Linked DNA regions of Mus musculus: region 2 is reported to be linked to region 1. Evidence: microRNA targets listed by miRTarBase, many of them from high-throughput screens and not tested one by one. Region 1 holds a microRNA gene; the other region holds the end of a gene's coding sequence.
The links. The annotated mature microRNA mmu-miR-3076-5p reads CACAGGGGAAGCUCAGUGCCAGCC and lies in region 1 at 7,418-7,441, shown strand. An mRNA with a match to its seed (bases 2 to 7 or 8) in the 3' UTR can be bound and repressed. Matches are read on the target gene's strand: a 7mer-m8 pairs with bases 2 to 8, a 7mer-A1 pairs with bases 2 to 7 and ends in A, and an 8mer does both.

Region 1 (16,242 bases):
CATGGTTGGACACCAGGCAAGATGTAGGGGTACCCCACCCCCATCCTATCACCCCTCCTGCATGTATTTTAATATAGCAAGGAGATGCCAGTCCAGGATGCAGTAACCTTCAGACAAGTCCTTTGACTGTGGAATGTTTTCTTGGTCTCTGGATTTGGAGAATTCATCTCAAGAATGTCACTGAGTTCAGGGCCCTGCACCAGCTATGGCGCTGCTACCTCACCTCCAGACCCTCACCTCTTCTGGGACTCTCAGAACCAGTCCCCTGGCTCTAGCCCCACCCTTCCATGACAAAACTTGTGTTCTCTGAGTGCCGTGTCCTGATTTCATGCTCGTACCTCGCCGCTATGCTTTGAGAAGACCACACTTGCCTGTATTGAGAGGAAGCCCCACGGGAGAAAGGCCTAGGACAAAGTCCTGGGCTTCAAAGGAGCCTGCCTCTGAGACACCTAGTTCCTATGCCAAGCAATTGTGCCTGTTCTTCCCCTAGGTGGACTGAGCCTGGCTCCCAAGTTCCCCTCCTGCTAGAGGACTTGCCTCTCAAGTCCTTCCGACCATGTCTCCTTAGTTTCCTCTTGTCCCCGTCATCTCTTGTGGGCCAGCCATTAGGATCCTAGTGATACTGATGACCCTTCCAGATCCCTGTTGCCCGCTCTCCATAGGCTGCCTGATAGGTTTTCTGGGAAGGGTGGTATTGAGAGCTTCACACTCCCAGGGGAGAGGGACCAGCCCTACAACCTGCCTTTTGTTCACAGCTACCGAGTCTATTGCATGCTGGGAGACGGGGAGGTCTCCGAGGGCTCCGTCTGGGAGGCCATGGCCTTTGCTGGAATTTACAAGCTGGACAACCTCGTTGCCATTTTTGACATCAACCGCCTGGGCCAGAGCGACCCAGCCCCGCTGCAGCACCAGGTGGACATCTACCAGAAGCGCTGTGAGGCCTTTGGGTACGTACGGATGGCCTGAGAGGGGCTCCTTTAAAGCAAGGGCTCTTTTACATGGTTGTACAGCCTACCACCTAGACACAGTTGTATACAGGCTCCGTAAGTTGACCGTGAGGATGGGACAGGAAACCCATGTGTTTGGGGACCCAAGCCAGCCTGGGGGTTAGGGACAGGCTTCCTCCCCTAGAGACCTGATGTCAGGGCTTTCCTACCTGAGATTTCATTGCAGTGAATTCCAAACCAAGTGCTGCAAAGCAGGGAAGCATGCGCCAGCCTGAAGGCTCCTCACCTCAGCATGGCTCCTCAGCCCCAAAGACGAGATACTCTGGATGGAGCTGGTGGCTCTGAGGGGCCACACTGCCTGAGGGGGATTTAAAGGACAGGGTTTGAGGACTTGGGTGAGCATCATGGCTGCCCTTTGTAATGAATCTTGTTGTGACTGTTGGGGGGTACAGCCATCAAGGTATCTTGACCTTACGAAGGGAAGAGGTGGGGGTTAGGAATATTCTTTCGGTTGTGTAGATAAGGAAATGACTACAACAAGCCTGCAGGGTCTTTTCAAGATCATATGTGGCTGGAAACTTGAGTATAATCCTCTAGGGCCTATGTAAACTTGACCCATGACCTTGGACAAATTATAGTTTCTGTGTGTGTTTCTGAGGATGGGACTGGGGCCTCATGTGTTTGGCAAGTGCTACTACCACTGAGCTACATACATACAATCTTCATTAATATGCCCAAAGGTGATGGCGAGGGCCTAGCTCAATGGTAAAGTTCTTTCCTAGCATGTCCAAGTCCTTGGCTTCGCTCCCCAGCTAGGTGCACAGAGTTGTCCCAGTTCCTTGACATGTGGTGGATAACGTGATTGAGTGTAGAAGAGTTGGCAGCATCTGCGGAGGTCAGGTGTGTCCTCCAAATAAACACTGAGCCAAGCGTTTTGTGAATCTAATAACAAGTGGCTTCCAAACTCAGTGCATTGCCTGCAATATGGCTTAGGAGGAAATGAGTGGATCAGGAGAAAAAAGGCAGCGCATAAGCTAAGCTTTGGGTTGTTTGGAAAGAGGGAAATTAAAACTCAGCAAAGGAAGCAGAGTGTAGATTGGAAACAGTAGTGACTTAGACTTAGCAGCTGGAGTTTGGCAGTGAAATGGTATGCATGTGGTATGGTATGGAGCTCCCAGATGCCGGGCCACATCTTTCCTGGGGGCTTTCCAGGGTTCTCTGGCACCTGGCTGCCCCTTACCCTGTGCTGCCTCTGTCCCCAGCTGGCACACCATCATCGTGGACGGACACAGCGTGGAGGAGCTGTGCAAGGCCTTTGGTCAGGCCAAGCACCAACCAACAGCCATCATTGCCAAGACCTTCAAGGGCCGAGGGATCACAGGTCTGTATGTGAGCTTCCCCAGCCCCACAGCCACCACCCTTGAGCTGGAAAAATGCCTGCTCTTGGCTGCTCCTTAAAGTGACAGGTCTCAACTGAGCCAAATGGACGGACAGAAGTTTCCTGAAGGAAAAACCCCTGTACCCTACCTTAGTGTAGGGTGTCACTTAATGGACTGTCCCTGCCTGCTCTGGCCATCTGCCCTGGGCTGCAGTATAGCATAGCACTGTACAGCCCAGGAGCTCCTGGAAAGACCTGAATTCTCACCAAGGAGGCAGTGCAATGGAGTAGCGTGTGGCAGAGGCCTTCGACAGTCCCTAGATGAGGGTTTCCTGCTTGGGGGTGAAGCAGGCATAGTCCCTATGCAACACCAGGGGTGAATGCCGGATCCCAAGGCCTCCTCATTTAACCCTTGCCTACTTTAAAGATGGAAAAATCAGAGTATACATGATCAGAGACAGTGAGAACTCTCACCTAGTTCAAATAGTTATTTAAAAAAAAAAAAAGACAGAAGATAGGACCAGGAATATGTGGTATATTTTTGTCTGTGTCCCAATACTTTGGTGGTGGAACAGAAGAGAGTTTTAGGCTAACCTGGGCTATGTGAGACTGTGTCTCATAAAGGAAAAACGAGCTGGTACAATGATGTGGTGGGTCAGGGTGTCTGCTTCTAAGCCTGACAGTTTTGAGTTAGTCCCTGCAACCCGTGCAGGTTTGGAGGTAGCTCAGCAGCCTGGAAGGGTTGGTCTGTTCTTGGATCTACTTGGGCAGCAGTGGCATTAAGTGTCCTCAGATAGATAAGCCTCACTGGTCCTCGCATGGTAAAGCTCTGAGAGGACCCGACTCTGCTCACAAATGTGTCAGATAAACTTGGCAGTACTTTCTCTCTCCCTGTGTCTTCTGACAAGGATGTGGAGCCTGGGGTCAGGGCCTGCAGGGACAGTGGCAAAGGGGACCCACATCTGCCTCCACATGGTTCCTCCTCTTCCTGTTTATCTGAGCCGTTTCCCTGAGTGGTGGCCAGAAGTCCTTTGCTGTGACACCACTGTTGCCCTGATTTTCCTCTGTGGGCATTCTTACCTGACCTCCTGTCTCCTGTCCTACAGGGATTGAAGACAAGGAGGCGTGGCACGGGAAGCCCCTCCCCAAAAACATGGCCGAGCAGATTATCCAGGAGATTTACAGCCAGGTTCAGAGCAAAAAGAAGATCCTGGCCACGCCCCCTCAGGAGGATGCCCCATCCGTGGACATTGCTAACATCCGAATGCCTACGCCACCCAGCTACAAAGTGGGGGACAAGGTACCTGGATGGCTCTTTTGTGAATGGACTGGAACCGGGGTGGGCCTACTTGCTTCCTTGGCTTCCCACGGTCTTCGCCAAGATGTGCCTTCTGGGGGCTGTGAGGATGAGTGTGGCCTAAGAGCTCGGGCTCCTTGTCTGCTCCCTGATGGGGGAGTTATGAAGCCTGTAGAGGCTCAGAGAGGCCAGGGGACTTACCTAAGGCTGCACAGTAAGCTTCTAGTTGAAATGATTGTAGAGATCAGGACTTTTTCATAGTCTGGCAAAAGCTAGGCAAAGCTGTCTTGATCGAGGTTTTTCATTGCATAAACCCATCCATGCAGCCTACAGCTGAGCCTTCTGGCTCTTGGGCCCTTGTGCTCCTGTGTGTGTGCAGTTCCTGGCCTCGTTTTCTGTTTCTCTCTTTGTGTTGTTGTTTTTCAGTTCCCTGACGCCTTAAGTTCAGCATGCTCTTGCCTTCGCCTCCCTAGTGCTAGAGTTACAAGCGTGCACTACTCCTGGGTTCCCATTTTTCTCATCCTTCGGAAGCTTCAAAACCCCATAGAGTCAGACAAGACTCTAGACCCCATCCTCGCACATGCCTCAGTGGTCCTCAGAGCCTTTGCTCCTGCCCACAGATAGCCACCCGGAAGGCCTATGGACTGGCCCTCGCTAAGCTGGGCCACGCCAGTGACCGTATCATTGCCCTGGATGGAGACACCAAGAATTCCACCTTCTCGGAGCTCTTCAAAAAGGAGCACCCAGACCGGTTCATTGAGTGCTACATTGCCGAGCAAAACATGGTGGGTGCCTGGGTAGGGTGAAGGACACACAGCCACAGCTGCAGGGCTATCCTGACAGGTAGCAGCAGGCGGAAGCCCTCTTTCTCCCTCGGGCAGCCGTATTGACAGTGCTGAGTGACAGCCGTGGGTCAGCTGAAAGAAAACCACAGAGTAACTAGAACCCACATTGACCTTTGACCTTGGGTAGCCAATTTTGGGGATGATTATTCCCAAGGGAGGAGCTTGTATATAGGACAGATAATGGAGGTAAAGGGGACCTGCTGGTCTATAGAGCCTTTAAAAAAAGGGAGGAGGAGGCTCCTATGTAGCCCAGGACACCCTAGATTTCAGTATGTAGCTAAGGCTAGTTTGAATTCCCGATCCTCCTATGCCCCAAGTTGCTGGGATTATAGATTGCAACCATCCTGGTGTCAAAGGAAACTTGTTGATTTTTGGTCTTTTTTTTTTTTTTTTTTTTTTTTTTTGTTTGGTTTTTCCGAGACAGGGTTTCTCTGTATAGCCCTGGCTGTCCTGGAACTCACTTTGTAGACCAGGCTGGCCTCGAACTCAGAAATCCGCGCCTGCCTCTGCCTCCAGAGTGCTGGGATTAAAGGCGTGCGCCACCATGCCCAGGAAACTGAGTTTAAGAGTTTTGAAATAATCATTTCAAGTCAAAGGAGTTTGGGGCTGGGAAACAGATGACAGAGCCACGGGTACCCAGGCAACTCTCGAGGGTTAGCATACTAGGATCGCAGCCTCTTCTGCCTCCCACATGTGGCCTCGGGAGGGTTCTGGGCTCCCTGTTCTTCAGGGCTAATCTGGCCCTCCTGCCCTCAGGTGAGCATTGCCGTGGGCTGTGCCACACGTGACCGGACAGTGCCCTTCTGCAGTACTTTCGCGGCCTTCTTCACACGGGCCTTCGACCAGATTCGCATGGCCGCCATCTCTGAGAGCAACATCAACCTCTGTGGCTCCCACTGTGGTGTGTCCATTGGTGAGTTCAGACCTGTTGCTAAGCACCAGTGCGTGTGGGAGGGCACGCTGGAAGCTGGAGCCAATCATCAGCCTCTTTTCAATACTCCAGGGGAAGACGGGCCCTCTCAGATGGCCCTCGAAGACCTGGCCATGTTCCGGTCAGTCCCCATGTCCACCGTCTTTTACCCAAGCGATGGAGTTGCAACAGAGAAGGCAGTGGAGTTAGCAGCCAACACAAAGGTTAGTCGTGTGGCTGTTCTTTTGGAAGCTAGCTCTTCCACAGAGGCAGAAGAGGAGGCCAGCGCAAGGTAGAGCTGGTCACTTGCTGCCTAGGGAGGCATTTCCTGGCCATGTCCCTCGTGTGTGTATACCTTAAAGAAACAAGACTGAGAAAATCAAAGCATACCATTCGTCATGCATCATGGCAGACACTGCCAGCTGATGGGCACTCTGCCAGCTTGACCACTGGTGTTTGCCTTCCTTGGGTTGAAGGACAGTAACCCGAGTCTCTGGTCCAGGACAATAACTGACTTGCCTCAGACTGGCATACAGAGTTTCCCGTGTCCCACCCGAGAGCCGGGGCCAGCCTTACCGAGGCATTCTGGGGAGTAGCCCCACTGAGAAGCCAAGCCAGTTTACCTTTTAGAAGTTGCTTCCAGTCTGAGATTAGCCAGGCTGTGGGTGCTTCTTCTCCTGTGTTCAGAGGTACCAGCTACAGGGAACCAGCCCCATCTCTTTGCCATAGCGCCAGGACACAATGACTGTGCCCAGGTTATAATTGACTGACTAAATGAGGCTTGTATCTAGGAAGGGTGGCCCTCTAGAAGACCAAGCTGTCGTGTTTCTCAGTTTATCTGTTCCAATCCCAGGGCATTTGCTTCATCCGGACCAGCCGCCCAGAGAATGCCATTATTTATAGCAACAATGAGGATTTCCAGGTCGGCCAAGCCAAGGTCAGTGCCCTTCGTGTATGAGAACCCGAGGGAGCCACCCACCCTGCTGCTGCTTCTACTCTCAGACCCTGCTCTGGCCCCTCACTGTCCCCATGTCACCCGCAGGTGGTCCTGAAGAGCAAGGATGACCAAGTGACAGTGATCGGGGCTGGTGTAACTCTGCATGAGGCCTTGGCTGCTGCAGAGAGTCTAAAGAAAGGTAAGAAGAAAGGGACCAGGGAGGTCACAGGCTGGTCACACAGAATCTCTAGTTAAGTCATGATGACAATAACTGAAGCCACCCTTTGAGCCATTACGCCATGTCCATGCTATGTTCTAGGACTGGTGACTATCCTCACCTATGATCCCTTTGTATCAGATCGGAGGCCATGGAGCCTGCCAGGAAAACTGAAGTCACAGCTCAGCCGGTCACTAGTTAAATGACTTATTCACCGTCTTTGTGTCTCCGATTCCCCACGTGTAAACTGGCACTTAGCCTTTATGACTGTCCCAAGGCCTTAGGTGTGCCTTGGCATTCATACTGTTATTATTACTATAAGTATAATGTTGTTAGCTAGTGATACCGTAGGGACAGAGCGTCAGCCTCGTCCTCTCAGTGAGATCGCCAGACACGTCACATCTCAAGCTTGTGAGCACCAGGAAGCAAAAGGTGGTCCCTTGGTTGGGTGACCTGAGTGGCCTGTGCAATGTGGGGGTGAACAGGACTGAGGCTGTAGCAAGCTGGGCCTGAGAGGTCAAGAAAGCTCCACCCAGACAGGGTGTCTAGGCAGCTGGGTGTGGTGAGGTGGCTTTTATTCTGAGAAAGTCACTCTGGCTACAGCTCTTCTCCCCACTATCCCAAAAACCTTTATGTTAGATCAGATATCTGAAGTCTTCCTTTTATCTTCAAAGGCATAGGAGGATAAGAGCCCCATAGTCTGCTCTAACAGTCGGTCCACAGGGCACCCAGCTGACCACTATCTCTCCCAAACAGGAGAGAATAGGGAGAAGAGCTATTCTCAATGGTGAGAGTAAGTGGACAGACAGCTAGCCACCAAAGAGTAGTTCTTCTTAGGCCCAAGACGCCCCATTCGGGATAAGGGGCCATTGGAGTTCTGTTCTAACACAGGGGAAGCTCAGTGCCAGCCTTTCTCTTAGCCGCACTCTGGTCTTCCCTTGCAGATAAGATCAGCATCCGGGTGCTGGATCCCTTCACTATCAAGCCCCTGGACAGGAAACTCATCCTAGACTCTGCCCGAGCAACCAAAGGCAGGATCCTCACCGTGGAGGACCACTACTACGAAGGTAACTGGGGCTGCACCAGCCTGGCGAGGGAAGGCCAGAGAGAGCAGTAGGGGAGGCAAGAGGTAGACACCACTTTAAGTTCCTCTGAGGACAGTCCGCCTTTGCCACTCACGGCCTGGCAGGGGCTCGGGGAGTAGAGCCAGCCGGCAAATGGGTTAGCTGGATCCCTATACCAAAGCCTAAAGCCTCAGAAGAGGCCAGGTCTCAGCTATACTGATGAAGGCTCTGGGTTTTCTGGCCACAGCTGAACTCCTGGGCCTCGTATCAAGGAGGTAAGATGGCTGGACAGGAACAAACAGGAAAGACAGTACCGAGTGTCTTCTTGAGTCCTCTATAAGTGCATGCCTGTTCTTACAGGAGCCTCTGAGGAGAGACGAGCTGAGACTCTAAGGTCAAATGCACAACTTGTGGGAGTCAAGCTGACCCCCAGCTGTACCATATGTGTGCACACACATACTAGATAAAGAAGTGTTTAAAGTATTAACTCAAGGAGCAGGGAAGACCCGGCAGTCACATAGCCTTCGAAAGCATCTATAGGTCCCCAGTGTCCTCTCCTGGCCTCTGAGGGCGTGGAGCAAGCATGTGGCTCACAGACATGCAGGAAAAACACTCGGTACACGTTTAAAAACAATTTTTTTTTAATTACATAAAGCTAAATGTTGAGGCTAAATCCCAGGACTCAGAAGGTGAAGACAGGTGAATCTCTGAATTCAAGACCACCTTGAGCTACATAGGGAGTTCTAGGCCAGTCAAAGCTACAAACAAATAGATGTAGGGCTCTGATGGTAGAGTCCTTGCCTTGTGTGCATGAAGCCCTAGGTTCAATCCCCAGCACTGTGTAAAATCAGGCAAGTGGCAAAGAAAAAGTGACAAAAAGAAAGTGCACATCTGGACTTAGAATAAATCATGGGAACCCTGGTGGATTAGTGATGTCTGCTCCGGCAAGGGCTGTGTCTTTGTCATCTCTGGCTCAGGACTAAGACCTCTCTGACTTTCCTCTGCACAGGTGGCATAGGAGAGGCAGTGTCTGCTGCCGTAGTGGGTGAACCTGGAGTGACGGTCACTCGCCTGGCTGTCAGCCAAGTACCACGAAGTGGCAAGCCAGCTGAGCTACTGAAGATGTTCGGTATTGACAAGGACGCCATTGTGCAAGCTGTGAAAGGCCTTGTCACCAAGGGCTAGGGAGGGCATGGGATGCTGGGTGGGTGAACTACACATTCCAGGGAGGTTCTGGCAGAGGTGGCGAAGGTGTACTGAGTGGGGAGGTAAATATATGTTTTGAGAAAAAAATTAATCCTCAGACTCTTTTTTTTTTCCTGTGATATAAACATATCCAGTGCCAGTATGAGAAGGAGACTGGGGAGAGAGGGAGAGAGCTGGCTCTCTAGGCTTGGGGTCAGGATCTAGGTGTCCCCTGGATCTAGGTGTCCCCTGGAATCCCCTTCTCCAGTTCAGCCTCTGCAAAGCCACAACTGCTCCCACCAAGTCATAACTGGGGACACTCATTGCAGCCTGCCTTTTAGCCAAACTAGGATCCAGCCCCTTCCTTTGCCAGTGTACCCTAAATGACACCATGGAGTTCCCTCCTGCCTTATAAAACCTTCCTGGGCCCTCCATAGCTGCACCATGGCCCCCAAGGTCCCACAACTCCTCCTTTTATGGGTGGTCACTGCTGTTTCCTAGGAATTCCGCAGTGCCCTTAGGGAGGATGGGGCCCATTTGTTGAGCTATGTGCATGTTTGCCCTTTGTCGACAAACTGCTCAGCTAGCGAGTTGCCTGGCCCGATCCTTCCATGCCAGGGAACTGTATGGTACCAACTCCAGAAACAGCAGAGCAGGTAGGTTGTCTCAGGGAGATGACAGAGACTCCTCAGTGGGTGATCTTAGGGCACACCCTGGGAGGCCTTGAGCTCCGCATGTCAGGAACTCTCCTTCACTGAGAAAAGAAGGCAAGCCATCTCCCTGTCAGGACAATTGAGGAACTTCTCAGCCACGAGTTTTGAGTCTGGACATAACTACAATATGTTATGTAGTTCTGAACAAAAACAGTAAAGCTTGGGTGCTTGGTCACCACCTGGTGGCCATTTATGGTACTACAGTGCTAAGCACACCCCTACAGAGGAATCTGAGGAAGGAGACTAGGGATGGTGTTTTCTGAACTCTGTAAAGCTCACAGCAGGTGGAGGTGACAGTGACATTACTGAACTTTGTATGCATTTTACTTAATCCTTACTACAAGAAACCACTTTAGAAGGCATTCCACTTGGCTGAGTGCTAAGGATTGGTCTATGTATTGCAATGCTAAATTCTGTACCCAAAAGTCTACAGGCTTTTATTGTGCAAACCTTCTTCCTTAATTTAAAACTATTGTTTAAATAAAATGGCTACAGTCAATTACTGGAGGATTAGAGGTAGGTGGGATTGGGAGTTGAGGTGGTGGGGGGAATGGACCTTGAGCACATGGCCAAGAGAAACTGGCAAGTGTCTGGGGCACACGGCTGGGGAGGTAGCCAGGCCAGCAGTTAGGAAAGTAGATTAGGGGTTACCCCCCAGTAATGGTCAAATAAAATAACCATTCATTTATAACCTACACGGAGATGAGCTTAAGTTGGCTTAACTACAGCCCAGTATGCAGAGTAAAGGACTGCACCTCGGGTTTTTGTGGCTACCATTTTTGTCCTTGTGGCCTCCTTAAAGGGGATGCTATGTAGTCAACCATATGTAAAAGTCCTTGTCCTGTAGGACGATGGAAGGTGCCTGCAGCTTAGTGCCCTTTGTGTCAGCAAAACTGCTGTTCTCCCTAGAGGTTATAGGCTCATGAAAAGATGTTTCCAGAAGAAAATGGGACAAGTACTCCCAACCGTAGCACCGGAGAGGGTCTGCTGCACCCACCTGCTGCTGCTTGTCTGTGGGCCCAGGGATGTGCAAGGCTGAGTGAGGGGTGAGGGATAAGAACTAGAAATGCCAGTGCCTGAGCTGGTGCGGTGCTCTGAGGATTTCACAGGTGCCTGGGCCAGGCAGCAGAATTGTACATAGATGGCTTCAAGGAGCCTGTATGAGGTTCCTAACATGGCAAGAGGTAGGGGTCTGGGGAACATGTGACTTCCAGAGCAGAGATGGGGAAGGTGGCTTCTCTCACCTTCAGGCTCTCCACGGCCTGCACTCTCTTGAGGAGATGGTTAAAGCTTAAGCAGGCAGCCAGATAGATGCCTGGGGAGTAAACGGGCAGAGGTGCTCCTGAGGCACAGTCACCTAAACTCACTCAGTCTACAACATCAAACACCTGGCATTTAGGGAGCCAGGAACTCTGAGGAGTAGGTGAAGCTGCTGTGGGTTTGGTTTGGTTTGGTTTGGTTTGGTTTGGTTTGGTTTGGTTTGGTTTGGTCTGGGGTTTTAGTGAGAAGCCTTCTAGAGTGTGCTGGAATCCCAAATGCCTAGGCCTCAGGAACCTGAGGAAGCCTTTACTTCTTCCTCAGCCCTTGGGACGGTGAGAAGACCGCCATGAGCACCTGAGGCTTCCTTGTAGCTCCTGGGCCTGGTCAGGGCCAAGGCTCAAGGCTGCACAAAGGTAGGACTTTCCCTGGGCCAGCGAGAGCCTCCTGTAGCCGGCTGAAGCAAGCAAGGTCTCCTGTCACTCACACCACGTGGGCACTGGGACATGGTAACAGGAAGAAAGTGCCTTGCTCATTTCTCAGTCTTCAGCTGCATAGGTGGCAGGGCTGGGGAGCCTCGCAAACCTTCCAGATCACAACTGTAAAGGAGCAGCTCTCTCCAGTCCTGCCTCCAGTCCTGCCTCCATCCTCCTGCACTGTGGAGGAAGAGTCCTCTCCCCAGCCTCCTGTGCCTCATCCGTTGAATGGGAATAAAGGCAGCTCCCTTGGGCTGCCGGGAGGATGAACTATGATACATTCCACAATACCATCAGTACACTGTCCGGTAAGGGCTCAGAGATGTTGCTTTTCAGAGCAGTTCATTCAGGGCAAGCAAGTAGCCTTTAGCACCAGGTTTCCGGTGACTACAGACATGGGGCTGCCTACAGTTAACAGTGAGTCAGGCCCAGAACTCAGGAAGCTGCCCGGCATACTTAGCTGTTAGACTTTAAGATGACTGTTATTAACATTGCCCTGTCAAGTTTACTGAGATCCATGCTGTACAGTTCACCCTTTCAAAATAAAAGTCAATGGTGTTTTAGTAGACTCACCAAGCTGTGCGACATATTATCACCCCTGAAGAGGGAACATGCGCCTTTTATCCACCATCCCCCTGGCTGCCATCCACATTTCTGGCTCCAAGGCTGGGGTGACATCCATCCTCACCTCTCCCAAGCACCCCTTCCTTCCTGGGTGTGTGCACGTGGGAGGAATCTGGACCTCTGCCCCTCGAGTCCTCCCTTTGAGAGTGGGAAAAGGTGAAAGCCATAGCGGTCTCTGGATGAGAATCCCGAAATCAAGCCCCTCGGGCAGGGGGCTGGGATTTATTGACATGTGGATTTGCAGTATTAGTCACAGAAAATAAGTTAAGTATAAAATACAGGCAGGAGTGTTAGCCACAATGCCAGGGACTCCGGTGGAGTCAGCTTAACAGATGAAAGTCTGAAAGCTTTCTCATGAGAAAAAAGTTTCAAGGAAACTTTCTCCCGGATCTTTGGCTATTTCCCTAACCCATAAAATTAATTTTCCAAATCCACTTTAGTCTAGTGTATGGATCCACGTGCACTCTATATAGCTTTACCTTATAGTAAATGCCTTTTAAGATTGTATTCTAACATAGCTAAAGCCTTTTCCCAGTGTTCTTAGACTCCAGATAGCAGCAAGGAGCTTTACCCATTCAGTAAACAATTAAGCACTTGCCATTTTACTCAGCAGTTTACAGATAGAGACTAAAATTCTCACTGAGATAGAAATTCTTATTACAGACTACATTCCATGCCAAGAGCAAATTAGTATACTATACTGAAATTAGACAGTCTTCAGATATTGATAAGAATTAACGAGGCCTAGAGAATTTTGGGGTCAGTGACACTACATTATTCTTGAGGCGTGTCAAGAGTTAACTACCCTGAGGCAATTAACTCTAAGTGTAAAACTCTTGCCTGGCAGAAAGTGCTAATCTCTAATGTAAACATTTATCTGGTCCCTACAAATTCCCTTTGTAGTCACTCCCCTTGCTTCTGTGCTTATCTCTGGTGGTGATATACATTTATCTGGTTCCTTTTGAAGTCACTCCTTTTGCACCTGGAATAATTCAATGTGCCTTGTTCTGCAATTTATTCTGTATTATAAAAGTCTGATGCTCGACTGGTAAATTACATTCAGATCCAACACCACTCGTGTGTCTGGCTGTTTGTCCCATCCTAATCTCTGCCCATCTACTCTAGAGACTCTTTCCTACGCAGGCAGAAGGGACCAGAGGGCCTGCGGCACCACAAGGTTTCTCCAGCCCACGTGGTGGCTCAGTAGACGCCCTCAAGCCAGGCTTCTTGACCCTCTGTATGGTGCAGAAACAGGAACTCACCCACAGGCATCTGAGTGCCGATTGGAGGAGGCCCTGCAGCACGGACATAGGCTAAGTCGTCACTGCCTTGGGGTGCATGAGCCCTTTGGTCCAATTGACAAGGCAGGAAAACTTTGTCCCAGGAGCTGTCCCTCAAGAGCCCAAGCCTGACACAGGAGAGAGACATTCCCAGCCCCCTGGACTGGGACTAACAATGTCCGGAAGTACAGAGGAGTCCAAAGCTATAGGAATGTCTTGTCTTGGGCTCCAGCTGCATAGTAAAACACAACGGAGGGGTTGGAGAGATGGCTCAGTTAAGGGCACTGGCAGCTCTTAAAGAGAACCTGGGCTCAATTTCCCAGAACCCACATGGAAGTCCACCATTGCATGTAACTCCAGCTCCAGGAGATCTGACGCCTTCACACAGACACACATATACCAATGCACATGAAAGAAAGAAAAGAGAGAGAGAGAAGGAAGGGAAGGAAAGGAAGGAAGGAAAAGAGAAAGAGAGAGAGAAAGAAAGAAAGAAAGAAAGAAAGAAAGAAAGAAAGAAAGAAAGAAAGAAAGAAAGAAAGAAAGGGAAGGAAGGAAGGAAGGAAGGAAGGAAGGAAGGAAGGAAGGAAGGAAGGAAGGAAGGAAGAAAAAAGGAGAGTTTAAAAACCACAATGGAGGGCTGGTGAGATGGCTCAGTGGGTAAGAGCACCCGACTGCTCTTCCGAAGGTCCAGAGTTCAAATCCCAGCAACCACATGGTGGCTCACAACCATCCGTAACAAGATCTGACTCCCTCTTCTGGTGTGTCTGAAGACAGCTACAGTGTACTTACATATAATAAATAAATATTTAAAAAAAAACAAACCCACAATGGAGAGCAATAACCACATCTGTGAGAGCCAACGAAGAAGGGTGGGATAAGAAAATTCAAATTTGTCGGGCAGTGGTGGCGCACGCCTCTAATCCCAGCACTTTGGAGGCAGAGACAGGCAGATTTCTGAGTTCGAGGTCAGCCTGGTCTACAGAGTGAGTTCCAGGACAGCCAGGGCTTCACAGAGAAACCCTGTCTGGAAAAGAACCAAAAAAGAAAAAGAAAAAAGAAAATTTGAATTTGCTTTTTTTCCCTGTAAGTGAGGAGATGCTGGGAAGAGTGTGGGGGACCCCAAACCAGCCTTTATCCATCGTGAACTATGGCTCCTCCCTAGCCGCATACCCCACTTACAACAGCTAACCTAACTCTCCTCTTCTGTATATGTCCTCTAGCTCCTACCCATAGGCAACCTGCAGCTAGAGCAGATCTGCATAGAGACCATTCCAAGGAGCAGCAGGGAGTGGCTGGGCCCTGGTGGGGAATGACCATCCCCTGCTCTCCCTCCCCATCTCCCCAAAGCAGACATTGCTGGCCTGATGGCAATGGCAGCTGTCACTCAGAGGACTGAGTGACAGCACTCAGAAAGAGTCACTTCCTGTTTTCTTGTATACGAGAATTATATTTAAATTGGGATGCATATATGTGTTCAGGGGTATGTTTAGAGGTCAGTAAGCTAGAAAAGGGATCGTGAGAGTGGGAGAGCTCTTAAGGGAGGGTGGGAAACAGAAGAGAATGAAACTGATGTAATGGAAAAACAGAAGTGAGAGCTAACTGGAGGAAGGGAGGGAGGTGAGGAAAGGTCACGGGGTAGACGGATAAATGAGAACTAAATAACCACACAGTCAGAAAGAAGTCATATCGGAACACTTCTTATTTTTTGAATCTAACCTAAATAACTATTTTAATAAACATTTTTTGAATAAAGGCCCCAATTTTTTTATGTACGAGCAAAGCATAGCAATACATGTATGTATATAAAAACGTCATAATAAACCCAGTATTTTATACGCTAACAAAAATTAATGAAAAAGAACAATGACCTGGCATGGTGGCACACACCTTTAATCCCAGGACACGGAAGGCGAAGGCAGAAGGAGCTCTGAGTTCAAGGCCAACCTGGTCTTGTAGACCATTAAATACCAAGCCAGCCTTGTCTCCAAGGCCAGCCTAGACTACAGAGTGAGTTCCAGTAGCCAGGGCTACACATAGAAACCCTGTCTCTGGAAAAAAAAAAAAAAAAAAAAAAAAAAAAAAGACAAAAATCAAAACAAAAAAAAACCCTGGAAGTTTCTGCTGAGCCCCTCCCCACTGTGCGCTCTCTCAGCCCACTGCTTGAATTCCGGTTTTTCTTGTGGTCAGACTTGACTTTTGTCTTTAACCCTAAGCCTGGCCTGCATAGGAAGCAGAGAAGAAAGAGGGCGACACTGTTGAGTGACTGAGAGTTTGGGGCTGAGGCACAGCAGATGCTCAGGAGCCAGCAAGGTCACTGGGGGATTGCCGGGAAGCTAGGATTTATTCCGAGGTGCCACAGGGTGGGGGTTTTTATTTGTGTATTCTGTCTGAATGGACTCCACCCCACAGTTACCTGGCAACAGCCAAGTAGGTCTGGACCTCTATAAAAGGGGCTGCTTGCCCCCTCCTCTCTCTCTTACTCCTGCTTCTCTCCCTTGCCTCTTGCCCCCTTGTTCCCCCTCTCTCCCCATTCCTTTACCCCCTCTCTCCACGTGGTCATGGCTGGCCTCTACTTCTCTACTCTCTCCTTCTCTCTGCTTTTCTCTGCCTCTGCTACTCTCTTAATTTTCCTCCCCATGCCCTAAATAAACTCTATTCTATATGATACCTTCGTGTGGCTGGAACCTCAGGGAGAAGGGATGCCTTAGCTTGGGCCCCACTGACACACACCCTTCCCCCCACACCCCCATAGAACATATCTTAATATCTCTTTATCTTCTTCTTTTTTTTTTTTTTTTTTTTTTCTTTTTTTGGTTTTATCAAGACAGGGTTTCTCTGTGTAGCCCTGGCTGTCCTGGAACTCACTCTATAGACCAGGCTGGCCTTGAACTCAGAAATCTGCCTGCCTCTGTCTCCCAAGTCCTGGGATTAAAGGCGTGTGCCACCACTGCCCGCCTATTTTTATCTTTTTATAATCACAACAATTTGAGTTGGATAGATCAGCTTCTAGAAGTTTCCCTGGTGATAAATTATTTCTCTGCCAGTGAAATGAGCCAATTCAAGCCAGATTTATTGGCAGGTTTATTGGGAGCCTCTGGGGGTGGGGGGCGTA
Region 2 (13,607 bases), not on the chromosome of region 1:
TAAACTGCTTCCCCTGGCCATCCTATTCTTTTCATTTGACTTAGCAGATTAGAAATCCTGGGGAAGTACAACAAACCTATTTTAAGAACGCTTCCCAGAAGTTTGACACCACTTCCATGTTTTTTCCTGTTACTCAGAAAAAATAAACAAAAAAACCCCACTGGACCACTTCTGTGGGGGGCTGCAGCCCCCCCCCCCTTAAAGGTGCTATGAAGACCACAAAAATGAAAGTAGGAAGAGTACATGCTTGGAGTCCCTACATACCACTGTTACCATGTCACCTTTGAGTAAACAGACTGCAGGGTGACACAAGTGATACTAGCTCTAACAACAGTGAATCACTTAGAACTCTTCTGTTGACAATTTTCTACAATTCTTTAACTTGAAACAACAAAGGTGAAAAGAACACTTGTGGGTTTACCCTGTTCCATATCACAACCCATTTCAATACTGTAATCCCCATTTTACAGCTTGCAAATTGAGTAACAAATTAAATAATCCAAATCACAAGGATAGCACACGAGGAACCTAAGAAAATGACTTTGAATATGCTCCTTTGCATAAAGTCTCCTGTGAACTTGGTCCACCGAGACCCTTGAAGAAATTGAGAAAATTTTTCTTCTTAGCAAGCTAGTGGGCAGTCTAGAATTCTAGTAGCTGCCCCAATACAACAGTGTTAGAGCCTTCTGGGAGAAGAGGAATTGAGAGGTGACACAATTCATGGTGACACTTGAGTTCTCAACCTGAAACACCTACCTTGTTTTTCTTTGTTCTTTTCACACTGCATCCCTTTGATTGAGTCTCTGTGATTCGGTATGGCTTCTGAAAACACAATGGATTAACTTCATTTCGCTAAACAGTTGTGGGACAGCCTGAAGAAAGTAACAGACTGACCGAGGACAGAAAATGGAATATGTACTCACAGCTACACAAAGTGTTTGAAGTAAAAACTACATTGAACTTGGGAACTATGTAAGGGTGGGAAACAAGAGTACTTATTTAGATATGTGAGAGGCCAGGGCTAGAAAGGTACAAACAACGCTTTCATATCGTTCAAGTTCTCTTTAGCTGTCCTTGGATGCCAAGCCTGACTGTGTGACCTTAAGAGATGTGGGGTGGATTTGCTTAAAACTCCAATAGAGGAAGGAAGACCTAAAGACCAAGTAGACAGTGTATTAAGATTTAGTTTGCTGGGCTGGGCATGGTGGTACAGCTTAAATCCCAGCATAGAGGTAGGCAGATCTCTCGAATTTGAGGCCAGTTGGTCTACATGGAGAGAGAGTTCCAGGCCAGCTACATAGTGAGAACCCATCTCAAATAATTATTCTTAAGACTAGAGTGCGGCCTGACAGCCAACGCCCAGGGGCTGCTCTTTGAAAAGTGTTGGAGTGTTTACAGAAACGTGTCTAGGGCTCGCCACCACTATTTCCCAGGCAAGTGATCTTTGGCAAGGTTGACCCCTCTTTCTTCTTTGCCTCCAAAACAAACGTGATAATGAGGTCCATCTTGCAGGCTGTGTCCTAATGAAATGAGGTATCATACATAAAGCAGCTGACACATGAGATCAAACTCACATAATAGCTGTTATGATGGGCTGCCTGTCCTAGACAAACATGCCTGAGGTATATTCAATTAAACAACTACTCAGGATAGAAAGCTGTTCTTCATTCTCTACACTTCTCATCGGATAGATCTGCGTTTGGGTCTTGATCCAGGCTTCTCCAGAATGATCCATTTGGGCACTGGGATAGACCTTTGGCTTATATGGGTTAAAACACTTCCTCCCTTGAACATTTAAACTTATTCTTTACATTTATGTGTGTATATTTAAGCATGTATGCATTTGAATGGAACCCAGACAATTGTGTGTTACCCTCCGAAACACGATTTCCAGGCATCAGACAGTACACACAGAATAACCAACCCATCCAGGGCCCAGGACTTTAAGAAACTTGATTGTTTGTAAAGCTTTTGGCATTTTGTTTATCTGTGATGGGTTCTCACTGAGAAGATCAAACTACCCTCTAATTCAAAGCAATCCTCCTTCCTCAGCCTCCTCAATGCTGAGCTTACAGATGAGAACCATTATGCTCCTTTCTGCTTTTATTTCTTTTCTTTTTTTCTTTTTCTTTTCTTTTTTTTTTTTTTTTTTTTTTTTTTGCCATGTTACTACTTCGTTTTTCTCAGCGTGGTAACATTTAGTCTCCTTCCCCAAACGTCAACAGATGCAGTTTTGCTTCCTGCGTGGTAGTGACAGTCAATATTCAATTCGAACTCTTCTGCTTCCACTCTCGTCCCATCACGATCCTAGTGAGGGAACTCTCGGGAGTGAAGTTCCGTGATTTGAAATTTTAGGAGAACAAACCTAATAGCTCTGATTTAAATCAAGTACACAGGAGACTTGACATGGTCTGTGATCAGAAAGTGTTTGCAAACTATGGGGACATGGACTAGTTCCCATAGCTTTCCCATAGCTTTCCCACTCTTTACAGTTTCTAAAAGTCCTGGGCCCTGGATGGGTTGGTTATTCTGTATGTACTGCCTGATGCCTGGAAATCGTGTTTCTGAGGATAACACACAATTGTCTGGGTTCTACACAAATGCACACACACACACTTAAATATACACAGTGCTTCCAACCTGTCTCCCTTAGTGAGGAGAAAAAAAAATTGTCTTGGAGCAGTGGTTCTCTACCGGAGGGTCAGAGGACTCTGTCACAGGGTCACCTAAGAGCACCCAAACCCATAAATATTGACATGACAATTCCTAATGGTAGCAAAGTTACAGTTATGAAGTAGCAATGAAAATAATTTTATGTTTGGGAGATCCCGACAACACGAGGAACTGTGTCTAAGGGTTGCGGCATTAGGAAGGCCGAGAGGCACTGGTTTAGAGGGTTTGGCCTGATAAAGCAATACCATTGATAGGGAACGGGGATGGGGGTCACAGGGGGAAACTGTCCTTTCCACAGTTCTGGGAGCTGGAAGTTTAAAAAAAACAATTTCAGATCAAAGATTGGATGTCTAGGGAAGGCCTGTGTTGGGGAGAGAGAGACAGGTAGATCCCTGGGACTTGCTGGTCAGTCAGCCATGCCTACATGATAAATTCAAGACTAGTAGAAAGAAAAAAAAAAAAAAGCCCTTGTGCACTCAATCCTGATGAATGAGCTCCATGCAAGACTCATGGTGACAGACAGATGTGACCTTCTCAACGTGTCCTCTCATCTCCACGTGGTAATACATAAATGAATGATATAATTTTTTTTTAAAGAGTGGACAGCACACACACGCCCCATAAGAGACGAGGGAGAATGTAGAGGGGACCACTTAGATCGTTCTGTGGGTAATAGTGACTACCACACAAGCCTGATAATCTGTGTGTGCTTCTCAGAACCCACATAAAGGAGCCAGACGCAGGGCATGCGTATGTAGTCTCAGCATTCCAAAGGCAAGAGGGAGGAGAGTTCAGGAAAGAGGAAGGATGCTCTCAGGAAAGCTAGCCTAGAGTGTAGCGTGCAGCTCAAATACGAGACAGCTTGTCTCAACAAGGTGGCCAGGGAGACGTGATGGAGAAAGGTAGTTTTAGACCTTATATGGGTGTGATGGAGTATGCACGTATGCACACACACAAATTAAAAACTTAAAAAGTGGGCAGAAAGGTGAGAGACGAGGACATTAGGCAGCTGCGGAGGAAATACTTTGTAGCCTCTTGGCTTTGCTCCGTTACCTTTGTTGCTGCTGTTTCTATGATTTTGAGCTATGGCTCTGGTTTCTGACCCTCTTTTCTGCCCTTCTCACCACTGGAGAGAGCCAGCAACAAAAAGAACAGCCTCTAACCCTGCGATTTCCTGCAGTAAGGGAGTTATTACTTTCATCAGGAGTTTGAGGGAAAAGATTAGATGGAGTCAAAGACTGGGAAATGACACGACAGGCCTTGATTCCTGATCCCTGGAATGAAAGTCTACACCTTTCTTCTCTGCTCACACTGGGTAGACTGACTTCCCACTGCTTAGGGCCAAGAGCTGAGTTCTCCAGTTACAGGACGTGGGTTTGATGACTGAATGTTCTGGGTGATCTCGTATGGGTTATGTGAACAAGGGCCATGGCTCCTTGTTCTCTAGACGGATAATTCTCTACGATGCTCTCTGGGTGCTGATAAATGTTGCTCATGTTTTAGTCCTAGATCCTCATCTTTGACCTTAGAAAATAATTTTTCCACTCTTCTCAACCTCTCCTTCTCTTCTTCTCCCTCCTCCTTGGACACTTTGTCTGGATAGTCAGACGTTTCTCCACCTCGCCACATACTACAGACAGGCCTACAGCTCATGAGCCTGCTCCAGGGGTGAGAAGGACAGACAATAGGCAAATAACTGGAGTTATAGCTCAAAATCATAGAAACAGCAGCAATAAAGGTAACAGTCTAACTGCTAGGCTTCCAGGTGGTCGCACACCCCCGTGACACGTTTTCTTCATTGGAAACTCTTAAATGCTTTGCTCATTCTGTAGGGCTGTGGAGGTGATGTGTGTGTGTGTGTGTGTGTGTGTGTGTGTATGGAGAGAGAGAGAGAGAGAGAGAGAGAGAGAGAGAGAGAGAGAGAGAGAGAGAGAGAGACAAGGTACTATTTTCAGGTTATGTGATAAATGTGTAAATACACCGGTTATTACTATTCCCAATTCGATGAGCCTGGAGATATCATTTATGTTTTACTGTGAAGAATTTTGAGGCTGAGAAGAGGTAAATATCAGTGTCCCATACAGAATATTTTGAGTTCGGATGTATCTAGCCATCAAGACTGACTATTTTAGTTGGCCTGACTTGATCTGGTACTAAAGAAGGCATTCAGTGAATTTCAATCATTCGAACCCCTCATTTCTTTTTCCCACCCCCACCCCACGTAGGGTGTTCTCCCTTTTTCTCTTATTCTTATTGGGACATCATTGTCTGTCTCACACTATTGGCACACTGCTCCATTGAGATGCGTTTTGCTTGTCCTTCTCAGAGCACAGGATGTCACACACTCCGTAGTTGGTGCTCCGTGGCACTCCCTCCGGCTCCCTCCGGCTCCCTCCGGCTCCCTCCGGCTCATGGCACTTTCTTGTTTTTAAACCCACTTCTGCATTCAGGGGAACTGAAATGCGATCGTCTTCTCCTTAGGCATCAGGAGCCAGACATGCTGGAGCTTGTGCTTGAGATGAGCAAGTGAGTGGAGAATCTGAGTTCAGCAACTTTAGGAACATAAGGATACTGAATCCAGAATAGTCACAACCTGGCCACTTCACCTGCAAGAGAAAGTGGCCATAATCTAATTGTCCTTTAGGGCCTCTGTGGCCTGACAGAGAAAATGGTCAGTGTTTAGTGGTCTAAGTGGAGATGGTCTCCTTTATATGTAAAATGTATATAATGTGACATTTCCAAGTGTGAAAGAGCTATGGGCATAGGGAGATATCCTCTTTATACAGGACCTGTTCTCATGATGGCTAATGGGTTCTGGGCAACTATCAAAAGAGGTAAGATCTTTCCTTCCTTCCTTCTTCCCTTCCTCCTTCCTTCCCTCTGTTCTCTTTCTCTCTGTCTGTCTCTCTCTTTCTCTCTCTCCCTTCCTTCCTCTCTCTCTCTCTCTCTCTCTCTCTCTTTCTGTCTTTCTTTCGTGTAGAGTTGTTTTTTATTTTTGTTGTCTGCATGTACATACACCATGTGTACACAGTGCCAGAAGAGGGTGTTTCAGATACCCTGGAATTCTAGTTACAAATGGTTGTAAAGTGCCTTATAAATGCTAGAAACCAAACACGGGTGTTCTGAAAAGAAGAGTGAGTGCTCTTAACTGCTGAGCCATCTCTCTCCAGCCTCAGAAGCAGGATATTGTTATATTTTCAAATATTAGATTAGATCTTATCAATCCTAATTTTTTTTTAAATTTATTTTATGGCTACGAGTGCTCTATCTACATGTACACCTGTGTGCCAAAAGAGGGCATCAGATCTCATTCTAGCCAGTTGTGAGCCACCATGTGGTTGCTGGCAATCAAATTCAGCACCCCTGGAAGAGCAGCCAATACTCTTAAGTGCTGAGCCATCTCTGATGCCTCAATAAGTAATTTTTTTTTAAAGGATGATGAGTTTTCTTAATGTAGTTGGTTAAATGCAAAAGCAAAGATGGGTCTGCTTTAAAAATAAAATAATCTGCCTTTTGGGCAAGACCTTTGTGGAGCCCTGCATCTGAAGTAGGGTGCCTGCCACTCACTGCTGCTCTGAGTATCTTAAATTCCTTCATGCTCCGAATAGATGTCGGCTGGTTGACAGTCGCTCCTCTTCATGCTGCTGGATCACAGGTTAAGGGGCTTGTTTTCTAGCTCCAGTAGAACCCTGCACTCCGTTCCCACACAGTATCTGTTGAACGGATAAAGATAGCTTAAAACTATTTATTTTATCTGTTTGTACACAGGTCTGCCTATGTGTGCCTAGGCATGTATGTGTGTCTGCATGCTTCTCTGGGTGTTCATGGAGGTTGGAAGACAGCATCAGGTGCCCTGGAGTGCAGTTACAGGCAGTTGTAAGCCACTCGATGCAAGTGCTGGGTCCTGAACGCTGATGCTCTGCAAGAGAAGCAAGTGTTCTTTCTCTGTTCCACTCGTCCCTGGAAACCCCACCCCATCCCGTGGACCCTCACTGTTGTCCTGACTTCTGTGGGAACTCCAAATTAAACACCCACATGTACGTTTTCCAGTCTGCCATCTACACACGAGAGAAACCATGCAGTGTTTAATCTTTCTGGTCTTGGTCACCTCACTCAGAATGATTGTTTCAAGCTCCATATATTGCCTACAGATTTTATCATTTCATTTTTTTTTTAGCAGCATGTGCGTTGCATCTTTATTATCTATTCTTCTGTTAATGGACATCTAGGCTATTGCATTTTCTGATTCTTGTGAGTTAAGCAGCGTGGACTATGAATGGGCAAGCATATCTGTAGTAGGATATAGAGTCTGTGGGGATTAGGCTCAGGACTGGTACAGCTAGGTTATATAATAGATCTGTTTCTAACTTTCTGAGGAACCTCCATACTGACTCCATATAGCAATGGCTGCCCTGTTATAATCCATAATAGTGAATGCACAAAGTATGTTCCTTTCCCTATCTCTATACCGGCATTAATTGTCACTTTAAAAAATCTTAGCCATTCTGATTGGGATAGGATGAGATCTCAAAGTAGTTTCAATTTGCCTTGATAACTAAGTTTCAGTTGGTGAGGTCCTGTTGGTCAGTTGTTGGCTTTAGTGCCTGTATTCCTGGGGCCCTGTTCAGAAAGGACTTCCCTCTGCTCACAGTTGAGGTTCATCTCCAACCGTCTATCATAGCAGCTCTCAACCTGTGCGTTGCCACCCTCAAAAAACACATTTACATTGTGATTCAGAACAGTAGCAGAATTACAGTTCTGAAGCATCAAAGATCATAATTTTATGACTGGGGGCGCGGGGCGGGGGGAGGCTCCACAAGATGAGGAACTGTGTTAAAGGGTAATAGCATTGAAAACCACTATTTTATCAGATTCAAACCAGCCCTTATACTGAGGTCCTTGATTCATTCTGAGTTGAGTTTTGTGCAGTGTGCAAGATAAGGGTTTAGTTTCATTCTTCTACGTGGAGCTATCTATCCAGTTTGGCTAGCAGTTTGGTTGTCGTTTCTCCAGGGTATATTTTTAGCTTCTTTCTAAAAACCCCACAAAAACAAAAAAATTCAAAGATGAAACAACAAACAAACAAACAAACCCAAATCAAGTGGCCGAAGGAGCGTGGGCTTTTTATGTGGCCCCTCATATCATCGTGCCTGGCTTTATTAAGGATGCCATGCTGTTTTGGTACTGTAGCTCTGCAGTATAGTTTGAAATTAGGGATGGTGAGACCTCCAGCAGCATTTTTATTGTTTAACCATTGTTTTATTTATCCTGAATCTTTCATGTTTCCCTATGAATTTTTTTTATTCCTGTAAAGAATTGTCTTGTAATTTTTGTGGGGATTGCATTAAATTTATAATTAATTTAAATTTAATATATAGGTTGTTTTTGGTAGTCTGCTTCTCCTTATTAGGGAATTGAGAGTTATTATTAAATGATTTATATTAATTCCTGCCATATTTATTGCTTTTGGCCTTTTTTTATTTAGGCCTCTTTTCTTCAGGAAGTGTTTATTCATTCCCTGTAAACTCCTGGGCTTGTTTGTACTTGCTCTCAGACTGAAGGCTTGTTTCTAGTACTCTCCTTAAAGCTGCCTTTGTGTTAAAAAAAAATTCTTAGTAAGAAATCCCACTATGTAGGCCTGGCTGACCTGGGACTTATTATGTAGACCAGGCTATCCTTGAAACCACAGAGATGTGCTGGCCTTCTGCCTCTCATTTGCTGAGATTAAACGTGTGTGTCACAGTGCCCACCTTACCTGGAGGCTTCTCTCTCTCTCTCTCTCTCTCTCTCTCTCTCTCTCTCTCTCTCTCTCTCTTTCTCTCATAAATTTAGTAAATAATTTTGTGGTATATAATAGCCTATATTGGCAGGTTTTGGCCATTCTGAACTTGGAGTATATCTTTTCACACCATTCTGGCTTTAAAAGGTTTTGTCAACTAATCAAGTGTTATTCTGATGGGCTGCCTGTCTTTATAAATGACTTGCGTTTTCAATTTTCCAGCTTTTAATACTCTTTTTAGTCTGTCTTTAATTTTACAAGGAGTTTCTTTCCTGGGTTTGCCTATTTGATGTTCTACAGTTTGATGTTCTACAGGCTTTTTTTTACCAGTAGAATGGTCTTCTACTTCTCCGGGTTCAGGAGAGTTTCTTGTGATTCTGTTGAAGACATTCTCTACTACTTCACTATGATATTGGTTTTTTTCCTATGCCCATAATTCAACAGTTGGGTCTTTTTATGGTGTCCCCAGACTCTCCCATGTTTTGTTCATGTATATATATCTTATCATTGAACTTTACAGCATGGGGCAATTCCCTGTCTTCCAGTCCCAATTCTTTTTTTCAGCAGAATCCACTTTGCAGGTGAGGCTTTCTACGAGCTTTCCTTTCCTTTTCTTTTTCTTTTTTCTTCTTCTTCTTTTTTTTTTTTTTTTTTTTTTTTTTTGGTATTTCAAGACAGGGTTTCTCTGTGTAGCTCTGGCTGTCCTGGAACTCACTTTGTAGACCAGGCTGGCCTCAAACTCAGAAATCCGCCTGCCTCTGCCTCCTGAGTGCTGGGATTAAAGGCGTGGGCCACTATGCCCGGCTTCTACGAGCTTTTCATTTGGTATAATGAGGTTCTCATTTCTAGCATTGCTGCAGTTTGGATTTCTTCAGAAATCCTATCTATTGCATTTTTTCCCCCTTGACTTCTCTTAACTCTCTTAATTTATTCATGTCTTTGCCTTCATTCCAGTGGGGTAAATCCATTTCTTTTGAGTTGTTTGAATGTTTTTATGATCATTCTTTAGAGCCCTTTGGAAGTTCTTCCAGGTCCTTTTGATTAGGTTCCGTTTCCTGTGGGATTACTAATCTGTGGGCACTCACAATGCCTGGTTTTCTCGCTTTTCTCTTTCTGCACAAGGTCTTAGGCAACTAAGACCTTGTTTGTTGGTTGAGATATTTTTCCTTTTGTGTTTTTTATTTTTAAAATTCAGATGCCCGGTTTTCCTTTTATAGTGGTGTTTGCAGTTGTCATGGAGGGCTAAGTAACATTAGGGTTAGGTGTGTTTTCCTTCCGTGGCCCTGGTGGTTAGGGATGGGGGCTCTATCTCAGGTCTTCTAGGACGGTTATGTAGCGACCTGTGTTAGCTTGGGTCTCCTGCCTGGATCTACAGCTGTACTGTGAGTCGTGGAGCAACCCCACGCAGCTGTGGGCCTTTTCCAGAGTTAGAGCCCGTCCCTCCCGTGAGCCCAAAGGTTCTGCTGAGCCTCTGCATGTGGACCTTCAATAGTCCTTACCGATGTCAGCACTGGATCCTGACCTGGGTCTTCTGCTTCTGCTAAAGCCTCTACAAGACGCAGAACCTTCCCTGTACTCCTCGGTCTAAACTAGCGTCAAATCTGGTCCTCATGGTGGGTCCGCTGCTTCTGCTGACGCCCCTGAGGGATGTGGAACTTGTCAAGCGCCAACAGGCTTTACCCCAGTTCAGGACTGGTCGACGCCCTGGATCTATCAAGGTTTTGTTCTGTCTCTGTTTCTGTTTTTGTTTGTTTGTTTTTTTTTTTTTTTAAACTGCTGAGCCATCTCTCCAGCCCCTGAAGGCACTTTGGAAACCATAAATTTAAATCATTTACTTTAGGCAATGGTGGTTAGTTTTCAAATGTTTGTTTTTTTGCTACTGTTTAGCCTATAAATCCTTGTTGTATGTTTTCCCTGCTGTAACGCCAGTTCTTTCTACTTAGTGGAGAGCATTGATCGGGCACTTGAGAGCAGTGCTCTGTGAAGTCTAACTCGTGTTTTCTTAATAAAGTAAAGGAATGCAGGGGTTTGTCGTTGTCGTTGTTGTTTTAAATAAAGGTTGATACAAACCTTTTCCCTTTAAAAAAATCACGTTATTGCCTGTGCTTCCTGGAGCAGGAGAGACAGACACGTTTCTAGAGCATGTTCCAAACTTAGATTGTCCAACAAATAAAGTGTGGTGAGAAGAAAGGTAGAGGTGTGTTCTCTGTAACCTGAGTTGGAAGGGATGGAGCCAAGAGGGAGAAGCTCCTATTTTACCCAAAGATGAATTAAGTACAGACTGCACAGCGGGATCCCGTTAACTAGGGTTGGGATTCAGGATACGGTTAAGTCTGATGGACATGGGGTAGGTAGTGCCAGCAATCCTGGGAGTGTGCTGTGAGCATTGGCTTATAGCAGTCGTGCTGGTCCTCCATCGTATACAGTCCAGGGGGGCACAGGCAGAGCCTTTTGAAGTTGCTAGTCTGACATGGGGTGTCTAGAAAATTATATTTCCTGTGTTTTGGGCAATGGGAACTGAATGGTAGCAGTGCATTTTATTGTATGCTGGGAGTGAATGTTCTTGACATGGTCATGAAATGTGTGTATATCCACTCTAGGATATATGCACATATATCCACTCTAGGATATATACACATGTCCACACCTTAGACAATTTAAGATTGGTTTGCTTTTCATATGTTTTTCTTATTAGGCTTTAAAATGTTTTTTTTTCTTATATTACTAAGAAATTTGAAACTAGTTTGTAGACTATCATATCCAAATCCTCATGGGGGACAACAAATTACACTAAAGCCACAACTTAGGAGTTACAGGGAAGATAATTCAGAAGCTAAAAAATATATTTTGGTTCATTCTCATGAAAAATTTGAGTCCAACATATCTAAAGGATTAGAGCACAAATAGGTAGGAATATATACACCAGTACTTAAAAACATTAGAAGATCGTGCATTTGTCTACATTCTCAATCAATACACTTGAAAGAGCTAGTTTGTTTTGCAAGTCACACATTTTATTACAAATTTATTTTGAGCCCAGTAGAAAAGCAAATTCTGGATCTATTTACAAGCACTACGTATTTACATGTGTTATGTACAGTTAATGCATTGGGGAAATTGGCAGAGAAACAATATGTCTGGGAGAATAGGCTACTGTACATGGTTTATTATCATGTTCTTTAATGTCACTGCATTTTTCCTGTAGCAATAAATACAAGTCTATATGTACACATCTTATAAAACATCTCATAAATGTATTTTTTTTTAAATTCCACATTAAAACATCTGGTCAAAATAAAACATGCTTATATAAAAATAAATCTACCTAATGGCCTTTTGGTTCGGGTGCAGCAAAGCTAATGTAAGATCACAGAAGTTAAGAATAAACCTTTCGCTCTCCAGATTTAACAATTTGTCTTGAAACATCGAACACCTGCGTGAATATGGACTAAGCAGAGAAGTAATGAACTTCATATCAAGTGGTTGATCCGGAAACAAGACACAGCTAAAACCAAGCTAAATGCACCGAATCCTACTTTGCCCAGTTTCTGTTGAGTCCGAAGTGTGGAGAGGCATTGTTGCTCGAGCTACCAGAGATGGGTGTGTGAAGTTACACAGTGGACTTAACGCCCTGCGTTTGAGCACTGAAAATGCACAGCCATTTGAGAGAGTGATGAACATCTTGCCAGAAGCATGCTCCTACTCAGAAATAAATACAGATCCGACAATTTCATACTGTCTTTCGTAGCTATGACCACGGCTGACAACGAACTTTCTGAGCTTCAGACTCCAGGATTTTAAAAGACGAATCAGGATAACCAAATCTTACCTATATATAATTGCTCGAGGAAGATAACCAAATCTTACCTATATATAATTGCTCGAGGAACCATTTAAGTTAATGTTCCAAAAAACCTTGAAACCAGTTTTATCTCAGCAAGGGAGAATGCACTGGATACTTATCTATATAACCCAGTGTCTTTTTGTTGTTGTTGTTGTTGTTGTTTTTTGAGACAGGGGTTTCTCTGTATAGTCCTGGCTGTCCTGGAACTCACTTTGTAGACCAGGCTGGCCTCGAACTCAGAAATCCACCTGCCTCTGCCTCCCAAGTGCTGGGATTAAAGGCGCGCGCCGCCACGCCCGGCTTAGAAGCCAGTATCTTAAATTTATATATGGATTAAAAATGTCAGTCCAAGAAACTGGTGTCTTGGAAGGAGCCTGTCCGTCAAAAGGCAAAAAGACACACAACCATCTCTGTGTAGCCATTAAAACTAAACTCTGTGGGCAACATAGCCCATTAAAGATCCTTTTTTTTTTTTTTCTTAAAACTCTAACCTTTTAAACAAGGAATTTGTGGATTTAAATACACCCATTGAGTCATCCAACGAGTCTTCTCACTATGGGAGACTATGCTGGTGAGTCAGAAGAGACTACAATGCGAAGAGCATTTCAGGCTGCTTTTCTCATCTGGGTTCACCTAAGTGACTTGATGGCTTTCCTTCTTAGCTGAACAAATGATACAAGCGGTGTTTAATGATGCTCTCCTGCTCTAAGGCACCACTGTTTCCACACCAATTTAGAGATGTTTGCTTGGGTTTTAAGGTAGGTTTTTAGCTCAGCTTTTCTTAGCTACTGCTCTGATAGAAATCACTTTTCAGGTTTCCAACTCTTAAAAACGTTCCTCTCTCATAGTCACTAGAGACATGGGACAAATGCAACTGAAGAGAGATGACAGCTTTCAGTCATGGGGTAAGCTGGTGATGCCCCGGAAGTGGAAGGCAAGTCATAGGCTATGCTGGCGTGGGTAAAGGATACTAAGGCTTGGGTTGACTCACAGGACCGTTTCTCAACATCGTCCGAGTTAATGGACAGCAGACTCGCGTGTTTTGATCTCATCCAGAAACGGGTATGCTTTCCCAGGCTGCCCATATCCTCCTTAAAATGGGGATTGAAGACAATGTAGAGAAGTGGGTTGAGACAGGAAGGAAGTGGGACGATCACGAGAAGTATAAATTTAATGACGTCAGGACTGATAAAGGTGAGGTTTAGCAAAGAGGAGAAGGATAAGAAAGCCACGGGGCAGTAAAGGATGCAGTTGGCGAAGAGCAACAGAGCAATGTGCTTCACCATCGAACAATCCCAAAGATTCTCCAGC

Region 2: miRTarBase lists Lgr5 as a target of mmu-miR-3076-5p. Seed matches in the 3' UTR shown: 7mer-m8 at 12,466-12,472.

The regions. Positions count from the first base shown.
Region 1 is chr14:30,564,733-30,580,974 of GRCm38, forward strand. Mir3076 (microRNA 3076) reads left to right here and starts at 7,417; the gene lies at 7,417-7,476. Tkt (transketolase) reads left to right here. Exons shown (of 14, transcript NM_009388.6): 5 at 756-947; 6 at 2,210-2,328; 7 at 3,432-3,625; 8 at 4,243-4,407; 9 at 5,224-5,380; 10 at 5,471-5,601; 11 at 6,231-6,314; 12 at 6,420-6,513; 13 at 7,476-7,598; 14 at 8,605-9,992. The coding sequence ends at 8,780.
Region 2 is chr10:115,438,867-115,452,473 of GRCm38, forward strand. It overlaps Lgr5 (leucine rich repeat containing G protein coupled receptor 5), which reads right to left. Exons shown (of 18, transcript NM_010195.2): 18 at 11,448-13,607. The coding sequence ends at 13,148. Among named protein-coding and RNA genes, the nearest start is that of Zfc3h1, 61 kb to the left of the region's middle.